Callithrix jacchus: one gene and its partners. The protein of the gene in region 1 purifies or fractionates together with the protein of each later gene. This does not show direct contact. Links are inferred from orthologs where the notes say so. Each region holds a gene or a part of one and is shown in the gene's direction. Other genes may lie near its edges.

The links. The genes of interacting proteins can lie anywhere in the genome.
Region 2: the proteins of SIK2 (region 1) and PPP2R2C purify together in Homo sapiens (affinity purification with mass spectrometry; 3 studies listed by BioGRID and IntAct, counting the BioPlex papers as one, with this or other methods). This does not show direct contact. The link is inferred for Callithrix jacchus from reciprocal best matches to the Homo sapiens genes SIK2 and PPP2R2C.
Region 3: the proteins of SIK2 (region 1) and PPP2R2A purify together in Homo sapiens (affinity purification with mass spectrometry; 3 studies listed by BioGRID and IntAct, with this or other methods). This does not show direct contact. The link is inferred for Callithrix jacchus from reciprocal best matches to the Homo sapiens genes SIK2 and PPP2R2A.

Annotation. Positions count from the first base shown.
Region 1 is NC_133511.1:11,304,730-11,308,764, forward strand, and holds the start of SIK2 (serine/threonine-protein kinase SIK2), read left to right. Parts: upstream 1-1,235; 5' UTR 1,236-1,379; coding exon 1,380-1,514; intron 1,515-4,035. UniProt on the Homo sapiens protein: Serine/threonine-protein kinase that plays a role in many biological processes such as fatty acid oxidation, autophagy, immune response or glucose metabolism.
Region 2 is NC_133504.1:186,790,556-186,794,603, reverse strand, and holds the start of PPP2R2C (protein phosphatase 2, regulatory subunit B, gamma), read left to right. Parts: upstream 1-1,248; coding exon 1,249-1,435; intron 1,436-4,048. UniProt on the Homo sapiens protein: The B regulatory subunit might modulate substrate selectivity and catalytic activity, and might also direct the localization of the catalytic enzyme to a particular subcellular compartment.
Region 3 is NC_133514.1:15,258,894-15,262,826, reverse strand, and holds the start of PPP2R2A (serine/threonine-protein phosphatase 2A 55 kDa regulatory subunit B alpha isoform), read left to right. Parts: upstream 1-1,133; 5' UTR 1,134-1,444; coding exon 1,445-1,451; intron 1,452-3,293; coding exon 3,294-3,368; intron 3,369-3,933. UniProt on the Homo sapiens protein: Substrate-recognition subunit of protein phosphatase 2A (PP2A) that plays a key role in cell cycle by controlling mitosis entry and exit. Involved in chromosome clustering during late mitosis by mediating dephosphorylation of MKI67.

The DNA of each region.
Region 1 (4,035 bases):
TAGGTTCTATGGATTCTTTTAAAAAATTCAATGTGTTAGAATCCATTTCTATCATTATTTATTCTTGGTTCTCAAATTGTCTCAGATTTGGTAAGGGTGGGCACCTTCAAGACATCTCCTTTCTTTTGACATCTCTTCCTCGACATAGCAAAGAAACCTCCCTGCTTTAAGGCACAGGGTCTTTCAAGGGCATTTTGTATTTTCCCTGTCTCTGCCCTCGAATCAGCCTTCTCGCCACGGAGTCTGACTCCTTTATGTGAAGAATGGTATTTAGAAACCAAGATATGAAGGCACATAATATATTTCAAAATATTAAAGTGTCACTGTCCCTGTTTCCTTGGGTCATATTTGGAAGCGTGGTGTGATTTATAATTCTGCCTCTAGCATTCGCTGTGTGACCTTGGCAATTCCCTTTATTCCTTGCGGTCTGCTTCGTCCTCTGGAGAAAAAAAAAATTGGATTACAGAAATATTTCTTAACCTTTTCAGGGTCACCAACACGTTTGGGAATCTGATAGAAGCTACGAGTCCATCTCTGCAGAGACATGCTCACATAAGCAAAAACTGGCCTGTGCTGTAGGGAGTTCCAGACTTGGAAGCTCATTTGAGGCTCCAAATCTCTGGATTGAGTGATCTCCAAGGTCTCTTCAGCGCTGACATATATAGTGAGTCTATAAGCGACCGTACTGCTGTCAGAATGACTCCTAGGAGACATCAAAGCGTGGAGGGGTTTATTATAGATAGAAGCGAGATGAGAAAAGGATACAAAGGAAACAGCCTGTGAGCAACGCATTGCTCAGCCACAGTTCTTTGCCGGTGCCAAATTTAGGGCTGGCTGTCCTTGTAGGTGAGAGGTTTTGGCGGGAAGGTCCCCGGGTGGGCAGAGAACGCCGGGATGGGGAAGGAGACCTCAGGCCGCATCCAGGTCTCTGCACCGCTCTGCACGGTCCGCCAGGGCTCGCTCTTGCCCTTCGCCTGGAAGGCCGAGGAATGGAGCGGGCCGGGCGGCGACCCCGCCCCTGGCAGCGGCGAGGCGGAGAGGCGAGAGGAGGGCGTCTGAGCCCGGAAGGAGTGCGCCGGTCCGGCCCGCGCCCCTCCCCGCGCGCCTCCCCCCACTCTCCCCATCCCGTCGCCGACCACGGCGGTGCTCTGGTCGCCATGGTGACCAATCCAGGCCCGGGCCCGCCCCCGTCCCCCTTCCCCGGCCCCCTGACGTCGGCGCACGTCAGCGGCGGCGCGCGCCTGGCTGGGCCCTGCGGAGCGGGAGGGAAGGAGCGAAGGAGCAAGCGGAGCGGCCGTCGCCCCAGCCGAGAAGCGCTGCCAGCCCTCCCGCCCGCCCGCCCGCGCTCCTGTCCGCCGTGTCTAGCAGCGGGGCCCAGCATGGTCATGGCGGATGGCCCGAGGCACTTGCAGCGCGGGCCGGTCCGGGTGGGGTTCTACGACATCGAGGGCACGCTGGGCAAGGGCAACTTCGCTGTGGTGAAGCTGGCGCGGCACCGGATCACCAAGACGGAGGTGCGGCCCGGGGCTCGGCGGGAGCGTCGGAGGCGAGGGTTCGGGAGAGGAGCTGCTTACAGAGAGGGGCGGCCGCAGTGGTGGGACCGGGGAGACCCGAGAGGCCGCGCCACTGACGGAGGCGAGTGGGCCTGGGACTGTGAGGACCCAGGAGGTGCAGGGGGTCGGTGAGCAGCGAAGGGATTGGGCCCGGGCACCCGGACCCCAGTGTCTCCACTGGAAGCGCGATCAGCCAGGGCTTTGCTTTTCCCTACGCCGCCCGCGGTGGCCACCCGGAATTTCGCCCAGAGCCCCCAGTCGGGCCGTGACCTGGTCTGTGGCCTCCGCTCCGGAGCCCAAGTTCCGCGTCTTCCCTGCTTTCGGCTGGGGGTGGGGTGGGAGGGGAAGTCTCGGTGTTCCCAGGCTGCGCCGTGAGAGACGTCGCCGGCCCGAGGAGGGGACCGCCTGTGCTTGGGCTCCGCAGATGGGGGATCGTGCGGCCCCCGTGACCCCGGCGCCCCTCCCCTGCCTGGCGAGGAAGGGCCCCGTGGCTGGGAATGTCCGCGCGGCCACTGTCCATCTTCTCTCCTTCCTTTTGCCCCACGGTGTCTCTGATTTGGTGTCTGGCTAGCTTGATCTCTTGCCTGGGGCATTTCCATTTAATGCTCCAGACAATAGAACTGGTTAAAATGGTCATCTCTGCACTTGCACAGAAAGTGGGTTGATTTTTCCTGTCTAGGGTTGTCCCTGTACCAGGTGTGCATTCTGGCTGTAATACGCATTCTTTAAACCACATCAGATGCTGCCTCTACTCATAAAGCCCTCAGCTGCTTCCTGACGGTGAATCCTGCACTCTCTTCATTGCACATTCTAATGCACCGCACATATTCTCTCACAAGTCTCTGTTCTTACCTAACCCGCCCCCCTTCCTTCCACTGCCTCAAGCTGCTCTCCTCAGGGTCTCTATTTTAAGACGTGCAAATTAAATACCTTAGAAGAACAGTGGAAACAAAACCATTCTTTAGAATAAACCTAGTCGTTTTGACGTACTCTACTCTGCCTTATTGTAGTTCCTCCTGGAGTTTCATCCTTTTCCTGTTTTGTTTTTTTTTTCCACCCCAGTTTTGGTCCTATTCTGCTCTTTCCCTTATTAGGTTGAATGTACTAGAGTTTGAATGTAGAGTAAAGTAGGACTTTTTTTCAGAATGACTTATATAAGGCGAAGGGCACTTGCAAACCTGAGTAATTTTTATAGTTGTAGTTGTACTCAGAAGTCTTGCTTAATGCCATTTCCAGAAGGAAGGGGTATATGTCATTCTGTCTTCTTTACTTTTTGTCTTCCTCTGCTGATCCTGAAGCAGTCCAAATCTGACTTATCTTTTAGAATCAGGACCAAGGTCAGATATTTTCTTCTCACAGATTTACCTGTTAGCAATTTAGATTCTTTGTAATGATAATGGTAACTTGACTATAGTGATATTGATAAATCTTATCATAGTTTAATCTGATCCCAGTATTTTTTAAAATGAAGAAATGGGTTCCATTCCTCTGCAGAGCCATGGCCTAATGCCATGGCATTTCCCTTTAAGTTACATAAAAGAAGGCATTTTAAATGCACATTTTATGAGCCCTTGCTTAATATCTTTCAGAAAGCAAACAAATTGTGAGTTATAGAGAGATCCTACAAAACTTTTGAACTGTAGTATATTGTGTGGTTGAATTCCAAATCCATCAGTTCACAATATTTTTTTCTCATCGACTTTTACTGGGATTAGTAGCAAGATTTAATTAAGTTATCTATTATTTATCAAGTCAAATTTAGTTAATACAGTATCTATTTAAGAGCTGCATAAGTAGAATGACTGACGCTTTCTCTTGAGATTGACAATTCAAATGGTGTCCCTTTTAAACTGATATATCTTAAAGAGCTAGGGGGCACTATGAAGTAATATCGTGGTTTGGTTATCCGAGTGAGATCAGTGCATTCATTTGTAATTGAAAGCACTGGTCAGAGCGTGAAAGAGGACTTAGATCCTAAATCGTGTGTGTAGTATCTGTGTGAATTGACTAACTGTTTAGTCCACAGAACCCATTTCCCTTGTGCTTTTCTAAAGAAGTTCTTAACATATAAAAAGAAATAGTGTGAATTTGACTTGGGTGAGTGTATCTGTAATTTGGTGGGTATGATTGGAGATACTAAGGTAGAGAGGGATAAGTAAAATGTCAAAGCAATCGCTGAACGGAAAAGTTCTGTAGATCTCTAGGTTGTAAAGTTGCTCTGAATTTTTTTTTTTAAGACGGAGTCTCGCTCTTGTTGCCCAGACTGGAGTGCAATGGTGTGATCTCCCCTCACTGCAACCTCTGCCTCCCTGGTTCAAGTGATTCTCCTGCCTCAGCCTCCCAAGTAGCTGGGATTACAAGTGCGCATCACCACACCTGGCTAATTTTTTGTGTGTGTTTTTGGTAGAGACGGGGTTTCACCACGTTGGCCAGGCTCCTTTCGAACTCCTGACCTCAAGTGATCTGCCTGCCTCAGCTTTCC
Region 2 (4,048 bases), on another chromosome or scaffold:
TAGGGTGCAGCTCAGGGGCCTAGAACTGGGCCACCATGCGGTGGAGTGGCCTGACCTTTCTCCTGAGGCCTGTGGCACTCTTTCCTTCCCTCTAATTTCCTTCTTCTGCTCCCTGGAGAGTCCCTCCTTAGCCATCCCAGCTTCTCTCCCTTCTTGAGAGGGGAGGGGAGGAGAAGGAGGAGTAGGGGGTTAAGTGTGTCCCTGTTGTTCTTTGCTTGCCCTTTGTGCACGCTGGCATCCTGGGGTGCTGTGCTCATAAGGTTGAGGCAGCTGAGAGATCCCAAGAGGGCCAGCGGCCCCTGGTGCCTCAGGATCACCCGGGGAGCACGCGCTCTCACGCTCTCTCCTCTGTCCCTGGACGGGCTTCTCTGACCCTGACCCTTCCCGCGGGACGTCCAGTCTCCTCCTGTGGGAGTGGCGGATTGCTCTCCCTCCTTCGTCTGTTGCACGTGGAAGGTCGGAGAGCACGCCGGTGAAGCTCCCGCCCCTGCTCATGGCATTGATTGCTGTCCCCTTCGGATCCCGGGGCGCGGGTAGGCGACCCCGGCTCCCAGCAGGGCGGGCCTGGGGAAGGGCAGGACGTAAAGGGGCTCAGAGCAGAACCCGAGTCCGGAGCGGAGCCCCGCTTTGGCCGCTTACTCCGGCTGAGCCCTTCCCCTTTTCCGGTCTCCGTTTCTCCTGGATAAAATGGGCATCGCTGTGAGGCAGGCGGCCCTCGCGCGGTGACGGCTGGCAGAGGCGGCCAACGCGGGACCAGTGGGTGGGGTAGAAAGGGACGCTTCGGTCCGCGGCGACAGCCCCAGCGCCAGCACTCACACCCCGCCCGGCGCCCTGCCCCGCGCCCCGGGATCCACGCCGTGCGATCAGCGTCCCGGGATCCTCGCCCCGCGCCCACCCTCGGCGCCCGGAGCCGCACCCCGCGCCCCGCACCCGCGCTCCGGGCGGAGCCTCCTGGGCGCGCCTCCCCGCCCGCCCGCCCGCGCAGGGAGCCGAGCCCGGAGGAGGCGGAGGAGGAGCGGCCGCCGCGCCCGGCCCCCCGCAGCCGCCCGGAGGACGCCCGTCGCGGTCGCAGCCTGCGGAGCCGCCCATGGCCCAGCAGCAGGGTTAGCCTCGCCGCGCGCCCCCGCCCCCCGCCCCCCGCCCCGGGCCCGCGCTCACGCGCCCTTGCTGTTTTGCCAGCTGACCGCGCCCCCGCCGCGCCCGCCGCGCCCGCCGCCGACCAGGGCTCCTGGTGCCTGTGCCAGCTCAATGGGGCCGCCGACCTCGAAGTTTCCGAAGGTAAGCGCGGGCTGCAGGGCGCCCGGCCCCGCCGCTCCAGAGCCGCCCGGCGCCCCCATGCGCCTCGCCCCCAGCCCCGCAGGACCTCACCCTGCCTGGGGACGCGGCCCTCGGGTGCGGGACTCCGGCGACGGGAGGAGAGGGCGCGTCTTCGCGGGTGAGAAGCGGGGCTCGGAGAGCGCGGGTGCCGACCCCGGTGCGGTCCTGGGGCAGGGCGGGCTCTGCTGGGGTCGGAAGTGCCCAGGTCCCTCGGGAGTCCGTGCTCTCGGGTCCGGAGGGAACCCAACAGAGCCGGCTTGGAACCCTGTCTCCAGCACTCGTCCGCTGCGCGAGCTCGGGCAGATCGCTCCACCGGTGTCAGCCACGGCGTCTCGGCCGAGAATCGGCGCGCAGAGCCCCCGTCGCTCCTCCGCTAGAGGTGCGGGCGCGGGTCCGCGCTGAGTTGGGGGTAAGACCCAACGCCGCGGAGTTCAGTCCCGGTCGCGGGTTCCATCCGCCATCCAGCCGCGTCTACGCGCTCCTCGCGCTGCCCCAGCCGGTGGGTGCTGAGTCAGGCCCGGCTGCTGCTCCGGTTTGGAGAAGCTTTTTTTTTTTTTTTCCCCAGCTGGCAGGGGACAGCCCATGACAGTGGCTCGCCCAGAGCCCGAAGAGCGTTGGTGGGATGGACAGCTGGTCCCGCACCCTGGGGGGTGACCTGGGCTGGCTTTTCTGCGGAGGGTCCCAGGGACAGGGGCCACTCACTCTGTGGCCCCAGAGGCTGCCCCTCCTGGATTGAATCCTGGGTCCACCCTGACTGGCCGCGTGGCCTTCAGCTAGTGGCTTACTCTCTCAGGGCCTCAGTTTCTCTTCTGTGAAATGGAGATGACGTTGCTCAGAGGGCAAGTTGGGCTGGTGAGGCCCCAGGAATCTGTTTTCACTCTTCTCCTTCTTCTTCCCTTCAGGGGCCCAGTGAGGTGGGTGATGGAAGGTACAGAGGGCTGGTGGACCTGGGCAGGGTGTTGGCCTCTGCCACTTTATATAACAAACACACTCTGTTCCAAGAGCTTTCAAATATCCACCTCCCACCACATCATCCCCATCATAGGATAAGGAAACTGAGGCACAGAGAAGTTAAGTAACTTTCCCGAGGCCACACAGCTGCCAGTGGCAGAGCTCCAGAGGCTTCTTCAGGGTGGGTCCTCCTTGGCCTGTGCTTGTAGTGTCACAGGAAGACATCACAGGGACACTGTCAGGAAAGTGGAGGGGAGGGCTGTGGCAGGGAGTGGGGCCTGTTGGCCGCAGGTGAGCTCCTCGGCCAGCTCTCAGTGCTCCCACAATCTGCTGCAGCCGCCTCCTCGGTCTCATTGTCCCCCACGCTCTGACCACGCCCTGGCTGCCTGCTCATGCTCAGCTCCCTCCAGGCCCCTGAAGTGTCTGTTTGCCACCTCCCTGCTGTGGAGCAGGGGTTTCCTCCCACCTGGGTTGCCTTCTCTGTCCCAGCTGTCCCCACCTCTGGGAATAGCCTCACTTCTTGAGGGCAGGGACTCATCCTGTCATGCCTGCAGGACACTGACTGTGCTTGGCAAATCGAGGCTTCTCAGTGTGGAATTGTTGAGTGTTGATTAGAGAGTGCGTGAGTGAGTGGATGAGTGAATGCCACATGGCCTTTCTCTGCTTTTCAGAAAAGGGGTAGGCAGGCTTACTATAGAACCCTCACCACTCCTCTTAGGACTCTCCAGAGCCTGCCTGGGGCTGGCAAGGGGTCACAGATCTTCGGCCTGGGAGTCAGTCCCTGGGTTCTAAACCCCAGTGTGTGTGTGTGTTTGTGTATGAATCTGTGGCTGTGTCTGTGTGTGCATCTGTGTGTGTATCCAAGTGTGTCTGTGTATGTCTGTGTATCTCCATGTCTGTGTAGGTGTGTCTGTGTGTGTTTGTGTGTCTCTCTGCATGTGTCACCATTAAACTCTTCTTGGAATTTAAAAAATTGAAAAATGAATGCATGATCAGATGCATCTTGGAAAAACGCAAAACAATACGGACACGGTCGGGGTAAAAGGTGCAAGTCCTCCCCTATCCCCACCTCCTTCCGACCCAGGACCAGCTACCTAATTTGTGAGGCTCAGTGCAAAGTGAAAATGCGGGGCCCTGTGTTCCGAAAGTAGGGGGAAGTGTGGTGAAAAGCACTCACTTTCTTCTGCGCTTTCTCTCCACCTGTCATGGTGGTTTTATTTCCTATGTAACGCCGTGTTCCTTTGGGCATAGGGATGCTTGCAGGCTGAGTGCAGATGCTTACAAGATACCTTCTTCTGGCCAGGGTCAGGGAAGGTAGTGTGGAGTCAGGAATCTCCCCTTCCCGCAGGTCTGCAGGCCCATGCCCTAACCCACCATAGGTGGGTAGCCCACAGGGTGTTGCAGCCTCAGGTCTGAGACACAACTGGTACCTGTCGTTCCTGCTGAACTGCCCATCCAACACACAGTGGTACTGCCAGCCCAGGGAAGGGTGGTCACTGCCATGCCTCACCCCAGCATGATACCTAGACCCAGGTCCTCGCCAGGGGGGGAGGGCAGCAGCAACACTGGGACAAAGAGGAGGAAGGGCGGGGTCCAGGGTGCTGGAGGCCGGGGAGGTGGCAGGAAGCAGGAACACACACTCCATAGGCACAGCACAGGCTCTGCTGTCCATCAGACATCGCTTAGGAAACACACACTCATAGATAAAGCGATTAGGAATTTTGTGACTCTGCAGAGCACGAAACCCCACGCTCCAGCCCCTTCCAACTCTGAGGTCTGT
Region 3 (3,933 bases), on another chromosome or scaffold:
ACCTTACTGACGATGCTTTCAATACAAATCTAATAATAACGGCAACTAACATTTATCATGTGCTCAAATTAAGTCATTTCATCTCACCAACAATCCTATCAGGTAGGACTGTCATCTTCATCTGCTGAGCCTTGGAATCACATTAGACAGCCTGGCTTCAGAGCCCAGCTTTTTTTTTTGGTTTGGTTTAGATTTGAAAGGAATGCATTCTGTCGCCCAGGCTGACAGCTCACTGCAGTCTTGACCTGCTGGGCTCAAGCAGTTCTCCCACCGCAGCCTCCTGGTAGCTGAAACTATAGGCACGCCATCATACCTGGCTAATTAAAAAAAAAAAAAAAAATTATTTCTTTTTTTGGTAGAGATGGGTCTCCCTATGTTCTCCAGGCTGAACTTGGAACTCCTGGCCTCAAGTGATCCTCCCGCCTCTGGCTTCCAAAGTGCTGGCACTACAGGCCTGAGCCACCGCGCCCCACCCTGAGCCCAGCTCTTAAGCACGGATTCCACCATTGTTTATTTAGCTGGAGAGACCCAAGCTACTTCTCGGGCCATACCCTTCTCATCGCAAACTCAGGTTTCTGTTAGAAACCACCCTTAGTGGCCGCAGTGCCCAGGACTCCCGTCTTGGTTCCTGGGGCCCACGCGAAGGTCATTTAATTCACCCAGATGGAACCAGCCCAAGCGTGTCCCTCTGAACCCCGTGAACTTTCATCCCGGCTGAGCAGCGAGTCTGCACTGCTGTCCCTTCCTTTGTGGAGTCAGGGCTGGCGCAAAGCGACACTTTCCTAAGTAGCAATACGGGTATTCTCAAAAAAGGCACAAGACCCCAAGAATTCCTGCAGACGAGCACGTTAACTGGACAGCTGAGCCCGCCCCAGAGCCCCGGCGCTAGCGCGAGGGGCTGGGACACCGCGAGGCGCAGACAGCCGCGGCCCGGCGCAGGAGGAACGGGCAGAGGGGGCGCCACCGCGAGACGCGGGCGCGTCACAGGCCGCACCGGCCAGGACGCGGAGGGCGGGGCAAGAGCGCAGCAGGAAGGGGGCGTGGTCAGGAGCCCGCCCGGCCTCTCCCCCGCCCCTCCCCCTCTGCTCTCCGCCCAGCCCGGCGGCTCCGCCCCCTTGGTGACGTCACTGACCAGGCCAGCCGGCGCCATTTTGAAAGTGGAGTCGCCTGCCCCTGCCGCTGCCGCCGCCGCCGTCGCTGTCGTAGCCGCCGCCGCCGCTGCCGGAGAAAGAGCACGAGCGGGGAAGCCCTAGAGTGAAATCTAGCATCCTGCCGGCTGCTCTGCCCGCCCCTCCTTCCTTTTCCCCCAGCCCCTGTCCCCTCCCCCCGCAGGTGCCATCCGCCGCCATCCGCCCTCTCTACCCCCCCATCCCCAGGTGAGGGGGGTGAGTTCAGGAAGCGGAGACCCCGAGGAACCCCGCAGGGTCACCATTTGCAGCGCAACATGGCAGGTAAAGGAGAAATTCCCCTTGCCCCCTGACAAGGCACCGTTTCCTTCTTCCTCCCTCCATCACCCCCTAGCGACCGCCCGCGCCTTGCGCGGAGCCACGGGGCGCCCCTCGGGTTTGAGGGAGTGGGGTCCAGGGGGGTGGGGTGGAGGCGGGGAGGACTCCGGGGAGGCGAGTGGTCGCGGCGAGAGCCACTGGGCTTGGAGAACGGAGCTGGCGCCGTGGCGGGGGTGGGGGTGGGGTGTGCCGGCGAGCTTGGGGTGAGGCGTGGGTGGGGCGGGGTGGGGGCGCGTGCAGATTTGTCTCTCCCGCTCGGGAGCCGGGTGGATCCTCTCCTACCTCGCCCCCCGTCTTTATTTTCATTTTATCCTGCAGGTCTTCATTTAATTTCTATTTCCCCCCCTGCTGCAAACCTTCTTGGGTGTATATACACATTATTTTGCACTGAGAAAGAAGAGCGCCTTACAAGTTAAAATGCAGTGGGGCCATATGTGTCTTTTTTTTCCCCCACTGTGGATGCCAATATTTTTGAGATTGGAAGCCTAAATTTTTTGTTTCAAACCATTTCCTTTCCGTTTCTTTCCCTCTTACCACCGAAGAGTGCAAGGCCTTTCATGTACAGCAAGTTGCATGAAAAACATAATTTCAACTTTCCGTTTAACATGTTAGCTTTTTTGCAGATGTCCTTTTCCCAAAAGGGTTTGGTAGAGTTAGTTAAAATAGTTGCGGAGTTCAGAGATATAAATAGCAAAGAGGAGAGAGATTTAGGTAGAAGCTTTGGAGGGGGGGGGAAAGGATGTAGAGAGAAAACCAGTTTGGAAATAAATTTAGCAAGGAATAGGGGTGACAGGGGAGAGAGAAGTAATGTAATTGCTTTGAGAATTCTTTTTGTACATGTTGGTGTTGCTAAGTCTTTTCCTTCATGTAGTAGAATGGGTTCCAGATTTAGATTCAGTGTCTTTCTCCCTAGAGTCTCAGGACGTTTTCACCATTTCGTTCTCAGTACTTGCACGTGAAATAGAAACATTCCGAGATTAGACCAGTTTACCGTGCTGTATTCATTACTTAGAGAATTAAACCATTTGAAAAAGTTAACGTGTCGGATTGACTTACGGTTTGCTATAAAACAAGTTGCTTGTTGGCCGTGTTTAATGATGAAATGAGATTAAAATTGTTTTGCACGAGATGACATACTAGCGAAATGAATTATTTGCCAGGTCCTTCGGAGTGGAGGGCTGAGGTGAAGGGAGGCAGAACAGGCTTCCTTTGACAGTCTCTTTAGCAGCATTCATTTTGGTTTCTTTTCCTCTCTGTCTGGAGCCAGTGATTTGCTGGTAATGAATGCAAAGAAATGGGTGTAGTGTTTGCTGTGTGTGCACTTTGGTGATAGGGTTCATATGAATCATTACTCCTCACCCAGGCAGTAATGTTCCCGAAGTTTTCTCTCCGTTCTATGTTTCATGGTAGTTTAACCTTATTAACTCTTCTGCAGGTTTTTTGTACACTTAAAAAGAAAACTCTTTAACTCTTGGTATTTACACTTTTCTGGTAGGTCTTGCCTGAGTGTAAGCCTTTTAAGATATTTGAGAGGAAGGGAAGTTTGTGAACAGATGTATGATGACCACAGAACATACGCCTTTAAAGATTTCATACCTGGAACCTTTTTTTCTTTTTAATACAGTACTAACTATTGGGGACTAACCTTTTTCCAAAGTGGTGCTTTTGGTGGTGGTTGTATGTGTGGGCAAAACTAAGCTGTTAGTGTCATGATCATGCCAACCGTGGATTGTTTACGAGAGTCAACATGAGCAGAACTCAGTTTTAATTGGTATGTTTTCTTTCCAGGAGCTGGAGGAGGGAATGATATTCAGTGGTGTTTTTCTCAGGTGAAAGGAGCAGTAGATGATGATGTAGCAGAAGGTAAGAAAGCATTTAATAATGCAAAATTTGGATATATAATTTTTTCAGAAATCTTTCCTGAGGGATTTCCTTGAAGCCAAGACTATTAAAAATTCAAGATGATTTTGTGTTTATTGTCCAAGAAATGTAAGAACAGTTTTAAAAGTTACGTTTCTGAAATACAGCCTTAAGTTTCTTTTGTAATTTATGCCTTGTTTTTATTTTTTACTCTGAATTTACGTGAAAGGAGCGATAGATGATTAGACATATAGAATCGTCACATGAAAGCTCTGAGCTCCATATAAGGGTTTCTTTGTTATATAAATTCCACATAGAAATAAATGGTGATGCATTTTTGTGTTTGTACATTGTTTTTAGATAAGTAAATTGAAATAGGTGCCATCAACATTTGGCTCAGAAACATTCTTAGCAGCATCTCTAATTTTTATGGGAAGATTCTTAACCTCTCTTGACTTTGCCTGCTGTGGAATGTAGTGCTGATTGGCATAGTCTGTGAAGAGATGACAGCTCACATTATTCATTTTGTTGTCTTTCTGGTAATTAGGTGGATAAGACAGTAACTGCT